3 linked regions of the Struthio camelus genome follow. The protein of the gene in region 3 purifies or fractionates together with the protein of the main gene of each other region. This does not show direct contact. Links are inferred from orthologs where the notes say so. Each region holds a gene or a part of one and is shown on either strand. Other genes may lie near its edges.

Region 1 (7,562 bases), on a different chromosome or scaffold from region 3:
CAGAGGAGAAGAGCCCAAATAAAGTCTGTAGCCGGCCTGCCTTCAGGATCCATGATGCAAAGTGGGTGGGACCAACTGTTCAGGTTGATGTGTTGCCAGGTCTCATCATTAGCAGGTGGCTAGACATGAATGAGAGGGACAATCAAAAAAACTCAAGGGGCGGGGGGAGGGGGGGGCACTGCTTGTCAGCAGAGAAATCTCATCTCAGCTTGAAAACAAAGGAAACTTTGCCACAAGTTGCTATGTGCAAGTCCTAATTCATACGCTTAGGATGTGCCTGGGGAGCCTTTGAGACTTCAGGCACCTACCAGCAAGCCTCAAGGGTGCTGAACCGCACACAAAATGAACCCAGCAATGCCTGCAGCCAGAAGTCAACCTCTGATCCTCCTGCTGCTTTTGGCTCAAGTGCTTGCAAACAGCACTGCCAGCTAGCACTTCCTAAGCAGGCTCGTTTGGGATCCCCTCCAAAACCAATAAGTCACTTAATTAATTGTTCTGCTGTCAGAGGGCTGAAGATCCTCTGACCTTTCCGCAGGCTCAGCACAGCCACCGTGGAGCCTGACATGGCCCGACAGCCCCCAACCATTTCCTCTCTCAGCAGCATCGAGAGGTTTCAAGGTTAAGTGTGGAGCCAGGCCCAGACGAGTGCTGAACTCTTTACATCCTGCCCGCAGCCAAATCCTCAACCGCTCCAGGAGTTTTATAACCCCTCACATTTCCTGCTGTGTAGCAACACTGCACAGCAGTCCCATTCCTCCTTCTGCAGGTACAACCCCCACAAGGAATTGACTCAGCATTTCAGAAGGGGGGATGCAGACTGATTTCCGAGGAGGAGAGTTCACCCAGGCCTGCAGCACAACTCAAGGGCAGGCTCCCGAAGCACCAGATCTCACAGAAGGGTAGATGTGATGCAGCAATGTTACGATGACAACGAAGACGCTGGACTGATATGGTCTCTGTCATCTCCCAGCATCTTGCAATCCATTCCCACGATCAAAGCACTAAGTCTTACTGACAGGGAAAATAAGGTAGTAGCAAAAACACTTTCCCTTGGTGCGGAAAGACAGCGTATAAGTGACTTGCCAAAGGCCATTTGGGCAGTCAGTGGCATGGATGAGACACCTTGCAAGCTCTTCCAGTTGCTAGACTCAACACCTCCCTCCTTCTTCCCAGAACCAGCTGCTGGCCTTAGTCTACCCTCCTGTAAGGCTTTTCCAAGAATACATTTATTAAGATTAATATCACCAATCGTACTTAAAAGCTTGTTTTCTTCCAAAGGCTAAAGGCTCATACAAGAACAGACTAACTCAGGAGTCACCTGCCTGCCAGGACAGGTCACATGGTCCACAGTTTGCTTCCTGCACCCCATCCCAGGATTAGAAGTGTGCCTGGGCACGTGCCAAAATCACAAGTGTCCCTCACCCCCCCAAGACAGGTACATTTCTGTTCACTGGGACAGTGACACGCTTGCAGTTTGGGCATAGGATGGGTGAGAAGCCCGAGCACGCAACTGTCGCATACTCCTTAGCTCAGACACAACCCTGGCCCTGCCCGGAACTGCTCCGGTGTCTTCATACAGTCCTCTCCAGCACCTCCACTTCTAATGACAACAGGCACGATCTGCAGTAATGAACTCAGCACTGCATAAATACAGCTGTACTGCATATGGACCCAAACAAGGCAGCTGTACTTGCATTATCCTGCCTTTGGGCTAAAAAGTCCTGTGGAGCGAGCAATCCACACAGCACTTCTACCTGCCCACTGTAGTCAGAGCACGGAGGAGAAAAGGACAGTAGCGCCATCCTACAGATGGGAAACTGAGGCACTGGGTGATTCAACAGTTTGCTCAGAGTCAGTCTCAGTGACAAAGTCTGATGCTGCAGTTAGATTTCCTGAATCCTGCATCAAGGCTTCACCTATTAGACTCTTCCCCTGGACAAAAAGGGGAACAAACACAACAAACAGATGTACAGGCAAGAGCCAAGAGATGCTTTTCCAGGCTGAGATCAAACGTTTACAGTTGAGTTACAGTGTTGTATAAAAAAGATAGGATGAAAAACAGGATGACTGGGACTTTAACATACAGCACTAGAAGTTGCACTGACTTCAGACTCATTCGCAGAGTTGAAGAAAAACATCTGCACGGGAAGGTGAGAAACAGGACAGGACATATCTCTGGTACAATTGCTGCATTAACTTATGAGTCTGCAGCAAGTGCTTAAGAGAAGCAACATGTGGCAGAGATGCAGAAGTCGATCCACCATGCAAGACGCTACCATGAGTTTAGCTTTCTCTGCCTGCTTACTGCAATCTGCGCACCCACTGCATTGATCGGGTAGACAAAAGCCAGAGCACGGCTGTTTCAGGCAGCTGAAAGAAATACTCTGTGTTGAACAAGTTCGCTTCACAAGAGATTTGATTTCTCTCTCCTCTTTCCTGTGAAGAGTCCTCTGACACAATTCTGGATCTCAGCCAGAATGTAAGCTTCCTTTCTTATCAAGCTATTGGCCCACCTAGTCATGTTATGATGATAGCATAGATGCTATCTGATGCTTCAGAGGAAAACAGCCACCTTCCCTCTGAGAACACGCCTCCTGAAGGATGGAGTCCTTTCTGGTCCCGGCACCAATCAAGCCTGCAGCTGGAGGCAGAAAGCTGAGATTTTTCAGGGAGTTCTTACACATCTCACCCAGGAGGTGTTTATGTACCAAACTACCCATCACATGAAAACTCCTTCTCCTACGAACCAACCTGGAAGAAAGCCCTGACTCCTGTGGGATAGAGAATTTTGCTCTTCTGGAGTCTTTTGTCTTTGGTTACATGCTGACTTGCCAATAATATTACCAAGTTGTTCTTGTATTATGGTACAGGAAGAAGGAAGAACTGACGAGATCACAAAGCAGCTTTTGGGATCTGAAACGCAGGACTGATCAAATTAAAATGTTTCACGGACCGCAGAGATGGAAAAGCCCAAGGTTATCCAAGGTATACCCTCCCAGCAAGGTCAGGATACAGCCCTGGAGGCCTGGCCACCCACGCCTCAGACAACCTCCTCAGCCACAGTCTCTCATCCTCAGAAAGTTCTCCTGCTTAGGGAGGCTGTGATTTATGACGATGAATTATTTAGCATTGAATTTGGTGCCTAGGTACTGCAGTGGTGTATATATTAGCACAGCACTGAGCTATATGGGATCAGGATCGGATATGAAGTAGGACTGTTCCCTTCCTGCAAGTCACTTGTTCCTACAAGTCACTTGTTCCTATCCTAACTGCTGTTTACGCATAATTTGTCTTTTATGCTAGAATATACAGTCTTCTGCTGGTTCAGTCTGTATGAACCAATAACAGTCTCTACGCCTTCTCCTGGTTTTTTACGGTACTGCATTCCTCCCTCTGAGAGCCTGGTTTGCTGCCAAGGGCCTCTCTCATAACTGCAGCGCTTCAAACCTCCATTTCATTCATCACGTGAGACTTGCAGGATCGGGCTTCCTTGCAACAGCAGCTTTCAACCCGCGGCTTGCACACACCAGGGGCAAGAGTTTGGTCATGCAAAACCTGAAAACGGAAAGTAAAACAAACAAACAAACAAACAAACCCCAACTATTGCCTAGAGACTGGAGTTCCTTCTGTAGGGTAGGCCACGGCATCAGGAATAGTTTTGGAGCCCCCAGATTGAGAGACTATGAAAACCTGTTGTGCTAGGTCCTCCCCGAAGGGAGCTTGTAAAACCAGACAAACTTAAAAGAGCCCATTTGTTTCTGCTGTACAGCTGCCCCGGTCCTCAGCTCCCCCTGTTTTTGACTGAGAGGCTGGCGCGCAGAAGAGCAGACCATCCTGTGGCAGCTCTCCCCGTAGCCACGCGTGCTGTCATCTGCCAGCTTGGTGCCTCAAACCCCGCTAGCGCGAAGTGTGGTGCCATCTAGCGCCTTTCACTGCCTGCAACGGGTACCAGAGAGGAAGGAAGGAAGGAAGGAAGGAGGGAGGGAGGGAGGGAGGGAGCAAACTCCGGCCAGCGACCCCGGGACGGGTGCAAGCGAGCAGATGGGGCCCGCTGCCAGCGCCTGCACAGCCAGCCGAGGCCTGGCGGTCGCAAACGCGTAGCGAGCCACCTCCGACAAACAAGGCTGCTTTTGTAAAACGCCAGTCCTGGCCTCTTCTCGGCCAGCTCGTTAACGCGACACCGCCGCTGCTCGCTACAGGGCAGTAAAGGGAGCCTCAAACAGCAGCACCGCAAGGCGCGCAAGTCAAACGACGCAGGCCGCCACACGGCGGGGCCCGCCCGCCCCTGGCCGAGCGCCCCTGGCCGAGCGCCCCTGGCCGAGCGCCCCTGGCCGAGCGCCCCTGCCTCCCTGCGCGGCGGGAGCGACCCCTCCGACCTGCCCCGGCCCCGGCCCCGGCCAGCCCCGAGCCGCCGCCGCCGCCGCCCGCCGCGGCACTCACCACCTCCAGCACGGCCTTCTTCTCGCCCTCCTCCGCCATGGCCGCGCCGGCCCGCGAACTACAGCTCCCAGGAGGCAGCGCGGCCGCGGCGGGAACTACAAGCCCCAGGGGGCCGCGCGGCGCCGCCGCGCCGGAAGTGCGCGCGGGCGACGCGCGGCGGGGCAGCCGCAGGGCGGATAAGAGCGCGGCGGGCGGAGGCGCCTGCGAGCGCGGCGCCTCGTCCGCGCCGGCCGGTGAGCGGGGCCGCGCCCGGTGCCTCTTCCCGCCCCGCCCCCCCTCCGGGAGAGCAGCCGGGGGGGGGGGGAGCGCGGGCCGGGGCCAGAGCGGAGCCCTCCGGGGAGGCGGCCTGGGCCGGGCCCGCCCGGGCAGGCGGCGGGGGGTGTCTGGGGCTGCCACAGGGCCGCGCTGCTTCCTCGGCAGGTCCCGTTCCCCCTTCCCCCCCCCCCCCGGGCCTTAACGCACCTCCTCGTCTCGGCCCTGAAACCTGGGGGCTCCTGAGCGGGGTCGGGTGCCAGGGGCAGGGCCGCCTGCCCAGCTCGGCCTGGAGCGGCCCGGTCCGCCCCGGGGGGGTGGGGGGGAGGGCTGCCTTCACAGCTGCCTGCTTTAGTTAACGTCTGGGCTGTGGCGTTGCTGGTGTAACTCAGGTGATGAGGGTCTTAAAGGTTAGGTGCTGATGAATAATCTGCAGCGGTGCTTGTGATAGGAGGGTTGGGGGAGAGGCTGTGAGTAATCATGCTCTAGGATGTGTTTCAGCTGTTCTGTGTTACCTCCTTAGTGTGCTGTTTAGTCGAGAGCTGTGATGTTGTTTCTTTACTCCCTCTTGTAAAACGTGTGATGTTGCCTTCCAGAAAAGGTGGTGGGCCTGGAAGAGAGACTGGATTAATCTTGCCTAATGACTTGTATTCCTAGTGATGAACCAGAAGAGGCACCTGGAGTAAGCTGTGTGGGCAGAGAGGAAGCTAAACTGTTCGGTTAAGTTAGTGCATGAAGTGTGTGCTTCTCAGGCTTAAAATGAACAAATAAGCTCTGGGACTTAAAAGTTGGAATACCCCTAAACTATTTTTAAAAATTAAAAAAAGAAATGATTGCTTAGGGAAGTGAAGGAAGGGTTAAAGGGAAGTCTAGACTGCTTTCTGCTGAAGTCACTCTACTCAAACGGTCTTTTCATTGCAGCCAGGCAGCTTGCAACTTACAGAGTTGCAACACCTTAACTTATTTCAGGTTTAAAGCCAGTAGTACTGTGATGCCCCTTGCTTTCTGTACAGTGCATTTCTGGAAATATAAGCAGTAACTTCCTCGCTCACTTAGCCCTGAAGCTTTTGAATGCTTTGATCAAGCAGCACTGGTGAGTCCCCTCTGGCTGGTAAGGGCAGTACTGCTGAGTGATAGAGAATGGGTGCAGTTTCTCTGGGTTGAGCTCTTGCCCCAGCTATCTTAGCTACCATCAGACAGTTTATTCTCGGTCGTTAGTGAAGTGTGAGCACCAAACAAGTTCTGTGTGTGTTTTTTTTTAATCTCACTTGAAAATAATAGGCCGTTTGTTATATTTGGAGACTTCATGGCTGAAACTTTAAACATTGCATTGCAGACTGAGCCTGTATATTTTTCATTCTCTAAGATGCTGCACACTTTTCTGGGCCCTTCTGTCAAATATCACAGGAGAACTTGCACATAGCAGTGTGATACATCTTGCATTTAGTCCTTAATGTATGAATGCAAAACTCAACTCCCCTTTAGTACTTAAGCTGTACCTGATGCTTTGGGCACATCTTAAGGAGCTTTTTGGGTCTGGTGTTTTCTAGGTGGCTGAGGAATACAGCCTTTCCCTCCTGCCCTGGAGCCTTTTGATGTAAGGCCTGCCTGGTATTTCTGTGAGTTCAAACTGTCCTTTAGGAAGGCTTGCTCATGGTTGTTTTCAGCTATTAACTATCTTAAGTTTAGACAGACACTAACTCTGATTTCTAGGTTATATGAAGAGATTATATGAAGTAGTTGACTTCAGTGGATATAATTCCAGACTCTCTTGTAGCTTATGAGGAAAGATGTTTTCCAGAAGTTTAGCAGTTTGTTTTTTTTTCTTTAAAAGAAAGCACAAGTATCTTCTCCTAAGAGCTGGATGAGACACTGCTTAGAGAAATGTGCTCATTGTTAAGTTTGTTTTACTCCTTTTAATCAGCTTCCAGCAAAGCTGAGAGGAGAGTAGCTGGGAGAATGTGGCTGTTGACTACTAAGTAAGGCTGAAATTTGATTTCAGTCAGTTGGTTTCCCTGCTTACACAGGATTGCAGAGCCAAATTACTGACTTCTGGTGAAGCTGTATGGATAGCTTCTGAAGTCTCAGCTAGCTAGCTAGCATCATCTTACTTGTATCCTGTTGGTAACAGCCCTACTGAACTCCTGTCTCACGAAGAGCTCTACAAATAGCCTATATTAAAAGGGTGGAGACTCTTAAAGTTGTGGCAAGGACTTTAGAATCCTCAATTTGAACCTAGAGTTCTTCATTTTGGGAATCAAGGTATCTCTGTGCTTGGGTGGGCTTTGTAGTTCTGAGGTTAGTTGCTGTATGGCAAACTACTGATCCTTCACAGATGTGTGCATGTGTTTTGTTTTGTGTGTTTTTTTTAAACTGGTCCTTTGTATTGGTCCTATTCTCTTTTTCTATGCGAAAAGACTTGTTTCCTGATATTTGTCAGTCACCTGATTGCTCAAGAGGCTTAATCATGTTTGTTTAGTCTCAGCTGTGACCTAGTGTTATACCACATGCTGACACTGTTCTGGTTATGTTGCTGAGCTGGCCAAAACACTGCAGACTCTCTCAGGGGCTCTGATCAGACATGATTATATTCATTTCTCTTGTTTCAGTTAGTATTGTTGCAGATCAGTGCGCTGTTGTAATCCTTGTTGCAAACTCTTAGAACTGTGCTTTCTGCCCAGCAGTTCCTTCCTGGTAGGAAGTAGGAAAAGCATTGGTGATGGCTCCTGAAGAGACTTAGCACCCTGCTGAAGAGGAGTTGAGTGAGTAGAAAACAGAACAGAGTGAGTTGTGTAGTTCATTTTTGTTGAAATTCCTGAAAATGATCAAAGCTAAAGGGAGGGATAGGTGACCAGTTTAAGCTTGTCTAG
Region 2 (7,691 bases), on a different chromosome or scaffold from region 3:
CATGAACAGCAGCTTTTTAAGGCACTAAGCTTTCAACAGCTGAACAGGAGAAAGTTTTGAAGTGATCAAAACATTATAATATAGCTCCTCTCATTTACATGACGCACCTAAGCTGTACTGTTTTTTGTAAGTACAAAAAACTGAATTTCTTTAGAGAAACGTATATTTTAAACTGATCCAGGCTATCTGAAATGCTTTCTTATAAACGTGGAAGAGAAAAGGTTTCCAGATCAAGGATTCCGTTATCTTATCGGTACAGAACGGAATAGCATTTCCAAATTTGCGTCCCTCAAAGATGGCTACCAAGGAACTAAAGATTGTCTTACCTGGAGTTTTGGGAAGGTGCCGGACATCTTAAAAGGAGTGTGTAAAATTTCTTTTATTGTCTCCTGAAGTTCTCAGAATCAGATATCTCAAGAAAGAGAGACATGCACACCCCATATGTATTAGAAGCAGACAAAGCACACCAGCAGTGCAGCATGCCTTCACCAGATAGAGAAATTCCTAACATATCTTAAACTCTCTTGGAAATACTTTCCAGAGTATTATTGTTTTTTCCAGTAACAGATTTAAAGAATAACATCATTATACTAAAATTTTGTAGCATGTCTGAAATAATCAATTTGTAATTATTTGTAATCTTTTGAAAAATCTGCAAGCGTTGCAAAAATTGTTTCCTGTAAATATTGTTTACATCTACCGCTCAAGACTATTATAGTCTTGACAAAGCTCTACTTTACTGAAAAACTCATCACTCTCCTTTCTACAAGAAAGTGAGGATCTCTTATAAGGAATTTCTATTATTTTAATATTATAAATATAAAATTAAATTACAATAGAGAGTGTTGTACTTCTTGCTCTATGGAACTTTTCAACCCAAAGTAATGTTAGTGACATTCTCAATTCCCTCAGAGCCCTTCAAGTAAACAGTGATGCAAGCACAGTATTTTCTCATTCTTTTCCTTAAAGTCAGGTATTAAGAGACAGATCCTGCATTTCAAGGCAGCAGGGACAGTCGCTGTCTCATAAAACCATCTTCAAAAAATTTTATGCAAACAATATCCAGATTCACAGGCCATTCTCCAAGAGAGGGTATGTTTTTTACTCTTGCTGACCAGCAGTGAAATTAAGTCAGCTTTGAAAGTTGTAATTTGCAGTTCTGAATGTCCCTCTTGTGCCAAACTCTCTGGAACCTTGATAATGAGGATTGTGACCCTGAATTTAACTCAATATTAAATACAGAGCCAGATACGAAATGGAATACTAAGCTTTTCATAGCACGTGTTATCTAGCACGCAGAGTGGTAGATTCTGAACAAACCAATTATTTCCAGGATTTGTGATTTTATACCTAAATACATGGAACTAAGGAATTCTGGGGATCACAAGACTAAACTATCACAGAGCATGGCTTATAACCTCTACTCATTCAAAAGAACACCCATACTCAGAAGAAACTGGTTGCAGCAGTTCACGACAATTACGTATCGCGTTTCTCCTTTAAAGCAAGTATTTAACCAGAGTCGGCCACACTGGTAGAATTCTCCTTGCCAGATCACTTCCCTTTCCAGTTCTCAGAACACAACCGAATATTAAGAACTGAATTGGAAAGGCACTACAGAGTCTTTACAGAGAGGTGTTCTGTCAGAGAGTGTTTTAACCACTAGTATGAGCTCCATTACTTAGCAAAGAATTCCTAAACAATTAGATTTTGTGCCTAGCAGAACTTTGTCTAGTTTGCTTTACATTAGATTGTTTTTCTAGGCTGTGAGTAGGGCACAGACCACACTTTTAAAACAGTCTTTTACAATAGAAAATTTCACTGGTAAATAAATCTATGAACTGTTTCAGACAAACGTACTGCTGAAAACAGCTTCTAGTTCAACTGATGAGATTTTGAACTGAAATCTTGAAACAAGATAGCAACACTGATGAGAGAAATGCAATTCAGGCAGTTCACTTGCAAATAGCATGAAAATATGCTAAAACTTCAAATCCAGGTAAAGTTCTAGTGCCACCAAGTAACCACCTCTCCACCGAGCTGAGACTGAAGCTGAACGCCCAGCAGCACAGCAGCGCTTGGCTGCAGAGCTGCAATTTGCCAGGCAAGAGGAACTGCTCCCCAGGGGTAAAGTGACACAAGCACCCAGCTGTTTCCATGTCTGGGGCTTTACATGACTATGCCCAATACTCCACAGCAAAGCTATGAGAAAATAGCAGTAATGGGAAAATAAGACATAGAGAAGCCGGACCTAACAGAGCCACGACAGCATGACCTCCCAGGAAGCAAACCAAGGGACAGTCGCGGGGAAGGAAAGTCAGCTCGAAGTGATGCACCAACTTCCTGCAACTGTCCTAGCAAACTCCTTCCCTCCATAAGGGCTTTTAGAGAGACTCTGTTCTCTGGTTGTAAAAATGGATTTATCTACAGAAAAGCAACCCAGGCTCCCTGCAGCTGTCCTGTTAGTTAGCAGGCCCCACCTATGCAGCGGGGTGGCCGGCCGGGAAGCACCGGCAAGGGCCCGGCAGAGGGGCCTCCGAGCAGGGAGGAAGGGAAGCAGCGACGAACGGCGCAGCGACCAGACCCCGCCACAGCCAGGGGAACGGCCCCTCGCCGGGGGAGGTGTCCGAGGGCCGGCCAAGGCCCTGCCGCCCGGTGGAGCCCAGCCGGGCCCGTCACGGCCGCGCCCGGGGGCCGTTGGCCGCGCGCGCCGCTCCAGCCCCTCCCCCCCGGCCGCGGGTAACGGCCGCCGCTCTGCCCCGCTCACCGGCCGCGCTGCCGCGCAGCCGCTCCGGCACGCCCCGCAAGTCTCCGTGCAGCCCCCGGAAGATCTCATGCAGCCGCTCCAAGTGCTCCGAGGAGCCAGAGCCCCGGCTCGCCATGGCAGGCAGCCGCGTCCCGCCGCCGCCGCCGCCGGCTCCCGCGTCCCCCGGCCCGCGCCGCTACCGCGCGGCTCGACGCATCGCCGCTTCCTGGCGGCCGCTTCCCAGCCCGGCGGCGCCGTGGACCCCCCGCTCCGCATCGCTGGGCGCCCCGAAGCGCGGCCCGACCGCAAAACCGCCCGGTGCCGCCGGCCGCACGGCCGGCAGCGCCCCCCCCGGACCGCTCCCCGCGGGGCTCGACCGCCAGCCGCCTGGCGAGAGGGCTGGCGCGGCGTCGGCAGCGGCCAACGGCCGCCAACGGCCGCGGGGGGCGTCAGGCGCTGCCGGGGCAGCCCCGAGGCGGGGCGCGGGGCCTCGCGCCGCGCAGTGCCCGCTGGGGCGCGTAGGCTGCGCGGGGGCGGCGGGGCGGGCGCGGCTGAAGCTGCAGCCGATGTTTCCCGGCCCGAAAGAGGCTTTACGTGAAACGTCTTCGTTCCGACTGCGATGGCAGGTCGCGTCTGCGGTTAGCGTCTTTGTGTCGTACAGGTGGTATACCTTGACAGGAAGGCACGCCCTGAAACAGGCTTTTTCCCCGGAGGGGTGTGTGTGTGCAGGGCCCTGGGTTCCAGCTGCTTCTCGAGAACCAGGAAGGCGGGCTGCGGCCAGGCCGCCGCGCTGTCTGCAGCTGGGGCCAGGACGCGCGTCTGCAGGGAAGCTCAGGTACCAGGAGGCAAAGCAATTTGGTGCCCCGGACTTTTGCTTTAACTCTCTGGTAGAGGTGAGAGTGAACATCTGCGGACTGAACACGGACTTGGAGGCAGGAGCGTGTCCCCCAGCCCTTTATATGTGTGGGCATATAGGTATACGTACCCATTTTGTACGTTTTGCTGGGGTTAATATCATAAATTTAGGAATGACGCTAAGAAAGGGCTTAAAGATAAATGACCTTACTTTGACGTTTTGCATAACTGTCCTCCAGACCACTCCTGAGCTTTCTCTTCAGGTATTTCCCAGCCGAATAATAGGAAAGTTTTATTAAGACAGCAGAACTATTGTTTAAAATAGTTCAGAAAGACAAAGGTTAGAGATGTGTACTCCATCGGGAGAAAACATTAGACCGAAGGTGCAGAGCCAGCTGGCTTTATACTGCAAGCTGATATTTCAAGTAGGGTAGTACATTTACAGCAAAGAGCTAAACGTGAATCTCTTAGCGTAGCAACCAGGCTCAGTGGAAGAGGACTCTAGAGCAGCTAGCACAGCTGAAATTCCTTTCACCTTAGTGGAATTAAGTGACATTAGTGGGTGAAGTAGGGGCATTGCACACACGTGTGAGGTGCCTGCTGTCTTGCAAACGTTGCTCTCAGGGCAGCACAGCGCCGAGCCCCACAGCCAGTGTCCGACAGCCAGGGTGCCCAGACCTGCGCGGTGGTCTCTGAGCCGGAGGGGATGCTCAGGGCGGCACCGGGGAGGCTGGCCCGGGCACCGGCCTGCTCCTCCGCAGCCAGGCTACTGCTGCAGCGCCGGGGCAAGCAAGCAAAAACGTGTCGTTCGCCCACAGCGCAGGCAGGGATTTAAACGAAATCACAGCGTGGGTAACTTTAAGGAAAACCTAGGGGGGACATAGAGCTCTTCAGCCGTGATCGAGGACACGCGGAACCGCACCGGACCTCCGCGGCCAGGAGGCAGCGGTGCGCGCCTCCGCCACCGGGGTCCGCTGCGGGCTCCGCTCCTGGGGGGGGGGCGGCTCCGGACTACAGCTCCCGGCATGCCGTGCGGGGGGGGGCGGTGGCGGCTGCGGACTACAGCTCCCGGCATGCTGTGCGGGGGCCCTCCGGACTACAGCTCCCGGCATGCCGCGCGCGGAAGCGGCTGCGGACTACAGCTCCCGGCATACCTCGCGTCTCGGGGGCGGGGCCTCCCGTTGGCCCGGGCTGCCAGGCAGAGCGGCGGCGAGCATGGAGCCGGCGGCGGCGATGCTCAGCTGCTGGGGAGCCGTGCTGGGGACGGCTGTCTCACTCCCGCTTCTCCTCCTTGTGGCAGCCCCCTACCTCAGGTCTGTCGGGGCTGCTGTACGCGTGTTTTGGGTGCGCGGGGAGCCCTCCTGGGCGCGGATGGGAGAGGGGGCAGGTCGCGTCGTCCGTGCCGGCGCCGGGAGCGGGTGCAGCACCCGGGCGCAGGCCGGGGTGTGTCGTTATTTCAGGGGTCCGGGGGCCTAGTGTTTGCATGCGCGTGAGTCTGTGACTCTTAAAAAAAAATAAATAAATAAAAAAGCTCGTACAGGAATTTAAGCAAGGCGATCGCAGCCAGCCCCGTCTGGCGCCGGCTGTGTTAAATCTGTGCAAGCTCTCAGCGGGCTTGGTTTCTGCGTTCGTAAAATAAATGAATAAATAAATAAATACAAATCATTCAATGCCTGTGCAGAAAATAAAAGATATATAGAAATATCCGTTCTTCAGTAGCACCTTTAATGTCTAGGAAGAAGGATTAGGTAAAAAAAAATCCTGGTTGCTTGGGTCTTTGTCCCCATCAGGTTTTAGGTTTTTTTTTAAAAGGAAGGTAAATAAAATAGTTTTTTTTTTTAACCTCGTGGGGCTAAAATGTTACTTCAACTTCTCTAGCTCTCGTGTCTAATTAACAATGTATTTGAAACAATCTCGCGCATGCCCTAGGATTTGGGATGCTCTTAGGTCTCCGCTCAGTTTTTGCCCTAGTTTCTGTGCTCTTCTGTATCAGCTACTGGGAGACAATAGAAAGCAACAGCTGCCCCAGCTGCGAGCAGTAGGCTGGCTCGCACCTCCGTCTGCTCCTCGAGAGGTGGCTTGAAATGTTTCTGCCTGCCTTTCCTCAGGCTCCCACAGCTGGAAATTTATTCCGGGAAAGGCGTCCCGCCTAGGAGGCAGAAATACAGCTGCGCCGCTGTATCCGGCGGTCCGAGCGGGGCTCCGGCGGCGGCGGCTCGGCGGGGCGGGCAGCCGCCGCCGCGCCCATGGGCTCAGCCGCCGCATGGCCGCCTGCCGATGGCGGCAGCCAATGGGGAGCCGTGGCTCCACTTTGTGCAACGGCGCGGCCGGGCGAAGCCGGCGCGAGGGCGGCGGTTGGAGGGCGGCGGGGGCCCGACCGAGAGCGACGCGACTGGCCTCTCCCGCCGGGCTAGCGGCGTGGCTGCGAGTTTCTTGGTGGCAGTGCGGCAGCACGGCGTGGAAACCCGAGCCTCACCCGCGAGGGCCTGGGAGAGGCGCCTCTGTGCCAGGCGGTGATGGTGCCCGCCCTTCTGTCCTCGCCGAGCCTTCCTCTCCGCACGACTGGCCGTCAGCTGCGCCGAGGGTGAGCTGGGCTTGTCGGCTCTGTGTTCGAGCACTGGCGCTACGCTCAAAGCAGAGGGGTTTGAAGATGACTAGGAACCTGGCGTGGTGGCTTGATCGGGACACCTAATCAGAGGAGGCAGCTGCTGGAAGCTTGAGGAGGGAAGGAGGGGTGTAGTGAACTGGCAGGTGGAACCACTTTAGGTAACTCTCCACATGAATCACAGGTTATTCTGAGAGCAGTAACTGGCCCAGCTGCTGGGGCACAGCCAACCAAGAGCTGTAAGTGATTAGCCCTGGCCTGTACCTCATAACCAGAAAAACTGTCCTTGGACCTTTTCTTGTTATCCTCTTGTTCCTGTTATCTTCTTTTCCAGGAGGTATGTTGCTGGAGGACAGTGTAAGTCAACAGCTAAGCTAGATGGGAAGGTGGTGATAATCACAGGAGCCAACACAGGCATTGGGAAGGAGACAGCCAGAGATCTTGCACGAAGAGGCAAGTCACTGTCCTACATCAGCAAGCATCCCTTTGAAACTGATATGTGTGCGCATGTGTATCAGTAGTCCCTTTTCTGGATCTAAGGGAGGATTATCTTGCACTCCCATCTATAGAGTTGGGAGTCTAACAGATAGCACCTAGTTATCCTTTTTCTTGGTGAAAACCCCAGCTGCAAGATATAATGGTGGTGGGAACGTGTCCTGATGGCACATTACTCTGGTGCAGAGGCCCGAACAGCCTTTGGAGTTGGTCATGCTCTACAGCATACTTGCATATTACAGAGGAGCCCAAATGTTGTTTCTCCAGAGGCTGTAACCACTGAGTCACAAGTCCCCCGTTCCTCAACTGCTTTCATTGTATCAAGGTGTATCTTGTGACATGAGAAAGCACTGCACTACAACCCTTTTGAGAGGACTGGGGAAGTTCCTGGTATCACTGGGCCACCACATTTGTTAGAAGCTGGGAAATGGCTTAGGTTCACTGGTGTTTGTTTTAGTTATTCATGTTTCAAGCTAATTTGGTTTAAATGCTTTTTGGCTAACTGGTGTGGAGATTAACGTAGCAGTTCATAATCAGTTTAGAAACTATTCTGGCTGGGGTCTGTTAGGCAAGAGGGCCAAACTCAGTTGCCCAGTGGGGCGAGGTTGTTGCAGCTCCATGTCCACAGGTCCAGCCAGTCGCCAGGCTGAGAATGTATCCCCAGTAGGCACCTGCACAAACACGCATATACTACATATAGACACAAGGCTGGCCACACAGATCAGCTCAGACAAACACACTCGGCACTCACACATATGGCACCAACAGCCTCATCCTGTTTCTGTCTCTGGCTGATCAGGAGGAAGGTCTGTTAGTGGGATATATATACATACATACAGTGTGGATCCCTCCAGCACCAGGGCTTAGACACTCAGTTCAGCCCTGGCCCCTGGATCCCCGGTCTCCCCAGTTTGCTGGCACCTGGACATATGAGCCCCTGAAGTCTGCAGCCCCGCTCCACTTGCTGGTACAGACCCCCTCACTCGCGCA
Region 3 (7,662 bases):
AGAAACAAAAGCAGCAGGCTGGACTGCAGTTTGTTGGGCTTCCAGGAATCACCTTGATTGTGATGACCCCCTATACCCTCTTCATAATTTCCCTTCTCTGTATCTTCTCTGTGTGCAATATTCCCTTTCGCTAACAGGCCTGTAGGGCATCCAAACAGATAGACATAATATATATCCACATTGTGTTTCCCTCTTCAAGGATCATTCCAAATTTAATTATGTGTTGTCAAGTTGGTTGAAAGATCTTTGAAGGGGATAAGAATCAGTCATGAACAGGTGTTACAGTTATTTTATTCCACAGTTGGATTTACCCAATGAAGAGGAAAGATCCTAGATTCATGGCAGCAGCATGCAAGCTGATGTCTTTTGTTATGGTAACAGAGTATAGATTGCTAGGTCTGAATCCAGTATCTCTTTCCTTGCATATGTATGCTCTTTCTGCCATCCATCCTACTGTTTCCCACAGCAGTTTGTTGGGAGAGGATTGGTTCTTCAGCCTCCGGGGGAAGGTACCAATGAAAAGGGACTAATCTTCCTTGGAGAGCTGGACATTTATTTAGAGACATCTAGAAACTAGGATGGGTTCACGCTGGTGGGTCTGTAGGTAAAATGGCAATGCAGGTGAATTCCTTGAAAAGCAGCAATGAGCAGGGTTGGAAGACAGGTGCATTGTTCTCTTTTTGTCTTTTCCACAAACTTTCTTAGACCCAAGAGATTACCTTTGTAGTCTGTGAGCCATTCCTCTTCTTTCTATTGATTCTGTCTTCTGTGCACTTTGCTTCTCTATAGATAGCCCTATTTCATTAAAGTAGTGTGCAGAAAAAGATGTTTGCAATTCTTCAAACACTAAAGAATTGCCCAGTCTAAGCCTGCTTAAAACTGCTGTTGTATCACCATTTTTTTTATAATCAAGTCTTACTTTTGCCACAGGGAAGGACAGAATTTGGGCTAGAAGGTCCTGGTACGCAACAAGAGTAGCTAGCTCTTGCAATTTAGTTACACCAGCTGGTGATGAAAGATCACTGTATATGGAGTGGGAAATAGTTGGTAGGTTGAAGGTTGAGCTGTGCTCCCTTTCTCTCCTATGGGACGGTCAATGGTGTGCAGTGAAATCTCACAACCCAGAGATTCCCTTCCTTTGGTATTAACATTTTTATCAATTTTTCCCCCAAAAAACAACTCCCAGGGCACAAAAACACCTACAGAAGATGCTGATGCTTTTCAGCCAGACAATGTGAAGCGTAAATCATTAGGCTAGATATTTACACAATAAAGCATGTCTGTCTTCAAGTGACTGGCTGTTTGTCTGCCACCTCTTCAGATCTGACACTGACAAAACAGAATAGAGAAAGAAAAAGGTCTCTTGTCCTGCCAGATGAAAAGTGTCATTATTCCTCAAAGGAAGGAAGGGAGTGTGGGACTTTATCAGCAACATACGCACCACACTTAAATGGAAGCCCTTTCAGAAGGACAGCCCATCCAAGAGAACATACTGTACATCTCAACTGCAGTCAAACAATTCCAGTGTCATTACATATCTTTGGGAACTATGACTCCGATATAACCAAGACAAAGATCTGGATTTTCATGGTAACCTCCTGTCAAGAGATAAAGACAATTCTTTTAAAGTGCTTCTTCTTCTCTTTAAAGTGTATTTTCATCTCCTGTCAACGATCTGCTAATTTAGTGTATATAAAAAGATCTCTTTCGATCTGAATTACTTGCTGCTGCAATCCAGCAGCTCTAAATGTTTGTCTTCCTATTTTACAATTTCTTTAGAGTATACATTTTTAGGGATGACAGTTTCTCTCCTAAAATATTTCTGAAGCTGAAAAACAATTTCCAGTTTGTTTGTTTGTTCCTTTACAAAGGAGGTAAAAGAGGTGCTTCACTAAAATTCATAGGAGCTGGAATTCATTACATACTATCTTAAATTAGCTTCTGTCACAGTATTGATCAGCCTGGGAAATTTCTGTGCTATACTCAGTGCCCTTTCCAATGCCTGCCTTCTTTTACCTATTTTCATTCCTTCTTTTATTTGTCTTCACTGAAAATATGACATGACTCGTTGAATGTGAGCATGTGTTTTAACAACTGAGGACCTGCAAGTATTTGCCTACATGTTCCACTTTAAGCAAATGAGCTGTCCAAACTGCTCGTGTGCTTAAAGTTAAATAAATACCTATTGCGTACACAGTTTTTCATCCAAAGTCCTGCTCTATATTTAATATCATTTTTATCTGTTAGGAACATCCTTCTGTAATTAGGAATACGTTATCATATTCTCATCAAGCATTTCTCAAAAGAAATACACCATTACTTTGAATGATTTTCAATGTTTCATACCCTAACCTCTTTGTTTTACAGGGCATGACCTCAGATTTTCTGAGCAAACAAGTTTATTCAAAAATGGTGCGTACTTTAAAATTACATAGCTTCTGCAGTATGTGGTAGAAACACATGCAGACTATACTCTTGATTTGAAAGCTAGCATTGCCTTACTATCTGAACAAAAACAGGTAAGTTGAAAAATTTTGTTAAAATATGAATTTTTAATAATTTGAAAATAAATATTTTTTCAAAATTAAAACAGGTTTTCTATTTTTACACATCTAATTGTTTTCTTACTACTTTATATTCAGGAATTGCTGAAGTGATTTTTTAAATCTCTGAATACACATTCAAAATACTATTGCTTTCTATATTACAATATTTCATATTTATAGCACTCATAGAACAGAAATGAACACACCAACAGCCTCACTAACGAATGCACACTGAAACCCCAAATCAATAAGGTAACGGTAACCAAAATCATTTTGCAATACTGAACTTGACCAAATCAAAAAATTGAAATGCTTCGGCAAGGTCATATGTCCATCTCTCCCATTTGCATTTGCAATATGAAATCAGTGAGATTCACTCTTCAGTCACTGATGTGATTTTACCTAAGATGGGAGCCTTAAGTATGGACTAGCCTGTGTGCGAAAGGTTCAAAGTAACTTTGTTAATTTATGGGAAGGCATTATTAGCACTGCAGTAATTTTATTCTGAAGAGACTATATTTTCAGGTAACAGGATTACATATACATGCATTGTTAAAACCACTTTAGTGTCTTTAGGACAACAAATGTTTTAGCTTGTTGGCTGTAATAGTTTTGTAAAGTTCAGATAGGATTTCCTCCAGGGGTGGCATTAAAAGGCACCTATAAATTAGTTAATTATACGTTCTAATCTAAAATTAAAACAGAAAAAGATCAAATTCAGCTTGATTAAAATTTATGATCTGAAACAAACAAATGATATAACTGATGATTTAATTTAAATTGCCCGGCTGTCTTGAAAAAGGAATTTCCCCAGGAGTCAGCATAAAAATGAATATGTCATGTTTTCAGGCACAATTTAAAATTATATACAAGGAAAGAGTGAGTATTCATAATTGCCCTTGGCAGTACTACAGTAATGCAAAGATAAAAGTCAAAGTTTAATCCTAAACTGTTATGTATGCTCTACTTTTAAACTATTATAATTCTCACACTGATTTATGGGCTAAATATAAATTCTGTCCAGGCCTTTTACAAAGTGTAAAGCATTCATTGCCTTTCAGAGATGGTAGAGCCATATTCATCTTATCTAGCTATAATGAGACCCTAAAAAGGTAGCTAGCTACCTGTGGTTTTGCATTACATTCATCTAAACATAGATTATGACCAATGCAGGGAGTTTTGGCCTTCCCTGTGCCCATGGTCCATCTTTCCCTTGTGTACGTACCAGCCTTAGTTTGGATGATACTGGTTGATATAACAAAAAATGGCTGACCTAAAACTGGCTGATCTAACAAAAATGACGAGTTCTTGATTCAGCTCATCCAAAATACTACCATGGGCCCAGACAGGGACGCAATCTCGTGAGGAGGGCATAACCTTCCCTCAAATCTAGCCCATGCTTTCTGATACTGCTTGGTAGTAAAACCCATGCACTTAGATCCATAGCTTCATTTCAATGTCCTCCCATGTAACCAGGGGCCACAGTGCCAAAAACAGCTGTGACATTCTCCTCAGCGTCCTCCTGTGCAGCTGCAGTACCACCAGACCCTCTGCTGTGCTCCTCAGCACGCTCCTGCGCAGCTCCGGTGCCACCAGGCCCCACGCCGGGCTCCTCCTCAGTGTCCTCCCGTGCAGCTCTGGTGCCACCAGGCCCCACGCCGGGCTCCTCCTCACTCCCATGACACTACTCCATTCCTCCATTCCCGTGACACTACTGCTGCCCTGGGTGATCAGTTCAGCTCTCTGAGCCCGCAGAAACCTGCCTGCCCGCAGGCACTGGGCACCAGACAGAGTCGCGGCCCGCCCGGGAAGAGCCAGCGCCCCATCCCAGGCAGCTGGGGTGAGCTCCCGGCCGCAGGGCGCTGGCAGGGCCGTGCCCAGCGACGGTCCCCCCACCCTCTCCTGCCGGGGAGCGGGGCCCAGGCCCGAGGCAGCCGGGAGCCCAGTCCACGGAGGCCGCGAGCGCCAGCCGTGACCGCGGGACGAAGGTCCCCAGCGGCCGCTGTCTCCGGCGCAGGCTGACGGGGCCCTGAAGGCCGCCGGGCCGCGCCGGGCCGGCGGGCGCCGCGTTACCATGGCACCCGGCGAGCTCGCGCCCCCCGCGAGCGCGCGCGCGCACGCGCCGGCAGCCGCGCGGCGCCCATATGCGGCCGGGCCTGTCAGCTGTGCCCGGCGGTTGCGCATGCGCAGAGGCCGGAGCGGTGTTCGCAGCTGAATTGGCCGTGCCGCCGCGCTCCCTTCAGCCTGGCCATGTCGTACGGCCCGCTGGACCTCTACCGGCCCGCGGCGCCGCCGGGCCCGCTGCCGCGGGACTTCGGCAGCATCATCCAGACATGCAGCGCCAACGTGCAGCGCATCGCGCAGTACAGTGAGTGCGGCCGGGCCCGGGTGGGGCGGGGAGGCCCGGCCCGGCCCGGCCCGGCCGCGCCCCTGTGACGGGACTCCGAGGGCCCCGGGAGCAGAGAGGGCGCCCGGGGCCCGGGGCGGGCGGCTGCTCGGTGGTGGTGACCGGGCGGGAGGCAGCCCCTGCGCCGGCGGGGCCCGCCCCTGGCTAGGCCGGTGCTGGGAGGGCGCTCTGGCAGGGCCGTGCCCCGGTGGGACAGAGGAAAGCGCTGTCTGTCCCAAATCTTGCGCTTCTGAAAGCGAACGCCCTTCCCGAGTATGGCAGCGAAGCAGACTGCCTGATCCCCGAGTTAGGCGGGAAGCGTTATCCCCCAGGGAGCAGCCTGCGCCTAGGATGCAGGCGCACACAACAGCTAGCAGCAGAACGACCTCATCCGTGAATTTTAATTAGTAGCTTGCTTATATTGTTTGTTACCACCGCACGTGCAAATGCATGCCAGCATCGCATTTGGTGCAGTGTCTGTGAAATTCCTATCGAGTTGTGTTACTCTCCAGCGGAACTTGCATCCCATGTTGCTTGCCAGAACGAGGCTTCTGATTCACTTTTATCTGCCTTTGCATGTGGTTTTGCTAAGTGAAAACAGGGAGCCAAAGACAACCGCTTCGTTGTTCAGAGAATCTGTAAGAGGTTTCTTGTTGCAGGAATTTCTGAAGGCTGATAATTTAACAATTCTTCTTAAACTCGTTGGCAGAGTTCTGCAGAGAAGCAACAGTTGTTAGACAGAATGTTGTTAAGTAAATGACACTGCAGTTCTTTTGGTCATCTGACAGTCATTAAAAAAAAAGTTATGAATGATCATAAGCTAATCATTGAAATCCTAGGACTGATCACTGAAATAGTACTTACTGAATGAGTTGTTTCCAAAGGAGTCTTTGATCTAATGCCAGTCTTAGAAAAGGCGTTCTATAACCTAATCTAGATGCAAGTTTTTTAGGGGCAAGGCCAGTTAAACATATTGGTTCCCCTGAAACTTGGTAACTTCTCTAACGTGATTATACTAGGCTATTAGTATTCCTGAAACTGCCCTGCATTAGCTCAAAGTTGTTTTCACTTCCTTTGGTATAGCTGTGGCCACCAGTTAAATCGCTCTTAAATTCTCCAAATGATATTTTGTTTATTTTCTTTTTTCTTTCTCTCAGATCTCCCTTTGAGAGCCTTCCTCTCACATTAGCTCAGTTCCTCTTTCTCATAGGACAAGCCTCCACTGTATCATGACCAGTAGCCATCCTATCTCAGTGTGCTGCCTCTCTCAAGGATTAACAGGCTTTATCAAGATGAGCAGAAGCACACAGAACGTCTAACTTAATGTTAGAGTAATCAATTTTATTCCATGTTTTATAAAACCACTCCACTGAAGCCCAGGAGGAAAAGAGAAACTGATGCCTTAAACTTTTCCTCAGCTGTCATTTCATTCGTTGGGGGGGGGGGGGGGGAAACAAGCAAACAGTGGATATGGCAGACTTTCGTTCTCTCCTCTTGGGAAACTCCATAGAGTTACCATGTTGTGCGAACTGTATTTAAAAACAAAAACAAAAAAAAACCAGAAAAACAGCTAGTGGCCTGAGCTACCAAAACTATTGCTTGCAAGACTATTATGGTAGCTCAGCATCTAGGTCAGAGATTTAAATGTTATAAGTAATCTGTAAGTGTACAGCAGTCTCTGTAGAAGTATTTACAGTGCAAAATGAAAGGGTTGGGAAACTGAAAGCTACTGACTGACAGGGCTATTTTTCTGACTCTCCAGCTGATGTGAATGGCCCCTATCCAGAGAATCATAAAGGAAAAAATTCCCAGTCTCTTTCTTTAGCCTCCTGGTCTCTTGCTGTCCTTTTGTGTAGATTCTGTGCATTGTCGTTGGCTGAAATAAGTAAGCGCAGCAAACTACTAAACCTGTCTTGTACCAGGACTAGAATAGAGATTCTTGCACTAATTCCATTTCCACTCCAGAAGATGCTCAAAACAAAACAAAACAATCCCTCCACCATCACCCCGCTACACACACCTGCAAAAAGCAAGGCACGGAATGTCTAGACACTGCAGAGTACAGTCAGTGTGCTAATTTAACTTGACTGTGGACTTTTCTGGTCTTCCAGTAGATGATAATTTGTGATATAAGTGTAGTCTTGCTCACTAGAATACACACATTCAGCTCGGTGTATAGGAAGCTGTTACACAACTCACTGTGTGAGCTGATAGGATTCTAGAAAACCAGTATGTTCTCTGCATGCAGAAGTCAGAATCCTTGCCTGTTTATTAATTAAATCGTATTGCAGCTTTAGCTGAGCTTTCACTGTTGTAAGTTATTGGGCATGACTTTAAAAGAAGTGGCCAGTCTAGAAGTCTGATGTTTCCTTTGTAACATGTTTCATCAACTGAAATGGCCTGCTCCAGGCTGAAAGCAGAAATTACACCAGCAGGATGTAATTGAATTGGAAGTAGCTCTTGGTAACGTCCGGTATTGGGTATTTCAACTTAATGTGGTTCTACAGGCAGCTGAATCGAGTTTATCCTTTTTGGCCTTGCCTGTCTCACCACTTGGAAGCCTAGGATATGATTTCATAATCAGTTTAAACAGTCAGACATTCTACTGCTGTCAGAAGTGGTGCCCCCAGTATCTCTTTAGCAATACTAACAATTGTGCAGCTGTAGAATAAAACAGATCAGCTGACCAAAAATAATATTGGGGGGTGTGAGGAAAGATAAAAAGAGGTA

Evidence for each region.
Region 1: the proteins of STX12 (region 3) and VAMP7 purify together in Homo sapiens (affinity purification with mass spectrometry; 3 studies listed by BioGRID and IntAct, counting the BioPlex papers as one, with this or other methods). This does not show direct contact. The link is inferred for Struthio camelus from reciprocal best matches to the Homo sapiens genes STX12 and VAMP7.
Region 2: the proteins of STX12 (region 3) and VTI1B purify together in Homo sapiens (affinity purification with mass spectrometry; 3 studies listed by BioGRID and IntAct, counting the BioPlex papers as one, with this or other methods). This does not show direct contact. The link is inferred for Struthio camelus from reciprocal best matches to the Homo sapiens genes STX12 and VTI1B.

Annotation. Positions count from the first base shown.
Region 1 is NC_090952.1:3,659,753-3,667,314, reverse strand, and holds the start of VAMP7 (vesicle-associated membrane protein 7), read left to right. Parts: upstream 1-4,550; 5' UTR 4,551-4,673; intron 4,674-5,288; exon of another isoform or gene 5,289-5,374; intron 5,375-5,613; exon of another isoform or gene 5,614-5,785; intron 5,786-6,242; exon of another isoform or gene 6,243-6,311; intron 6,312-7,373; exon of another isoform or gene 7,374-7,475; intron 7,476-7,562. Other genes in the region: DNA-directed RNA polymerases I and III subunit RPAC2, read right to left, coding at 3,448-3,555, 4,441-4,479. UniProt on the Homo sapiens protein: Involved in the targeting and/or fusion of transport vesicles to their target membrane during transport of proteins from the early endosome to the lysosome. Required for heterotypic fusion of late endosomes with lysosomes and homotypic lysosomal fusion.
Region 2 is NC_090946.1:46,592,372-46,600,062, forward strand, and holds the start of VTI1B (vesicle transport through interaction with t-SNAREs homolog 1B), read right to left. Parts: upstream 3,013-7,691; 5' UTR 2,883-3,012; coding exon 2,768-2,882; intron 1-2,767. Other genes in the region: retinol dehydrogenase 12, read left to right, coding at 4,712-4,914, 6,541-6,659. UniProt on the Homo sapiens protein: V-SNARE that mediates vesicle transport pathways through interactions with t-SNAREs on the target membrane. These interactions are proposed to mediate aspects of the specificity of vesicle trafficking and to promote fusion of the lipid bilayers.
Region 3 is NC_090964.1:2,911,201-2,918,862, reverse strand, and holds the start of STX12 (syntaxin-12), read left to right. Parts: upstream 1-4,649; 5' UTR 4,650-4,796; coding exon 4,797-4,914; intron 4,915-7,662. UniProt on the Homo sapiens protein: SNARE promoting fusion of transport vesicles with target membranes. Together with SNARE STX6, promotes movement of vesicles from endosomes to the cell membrane, and may therefore function in the endocytic recycling pathway.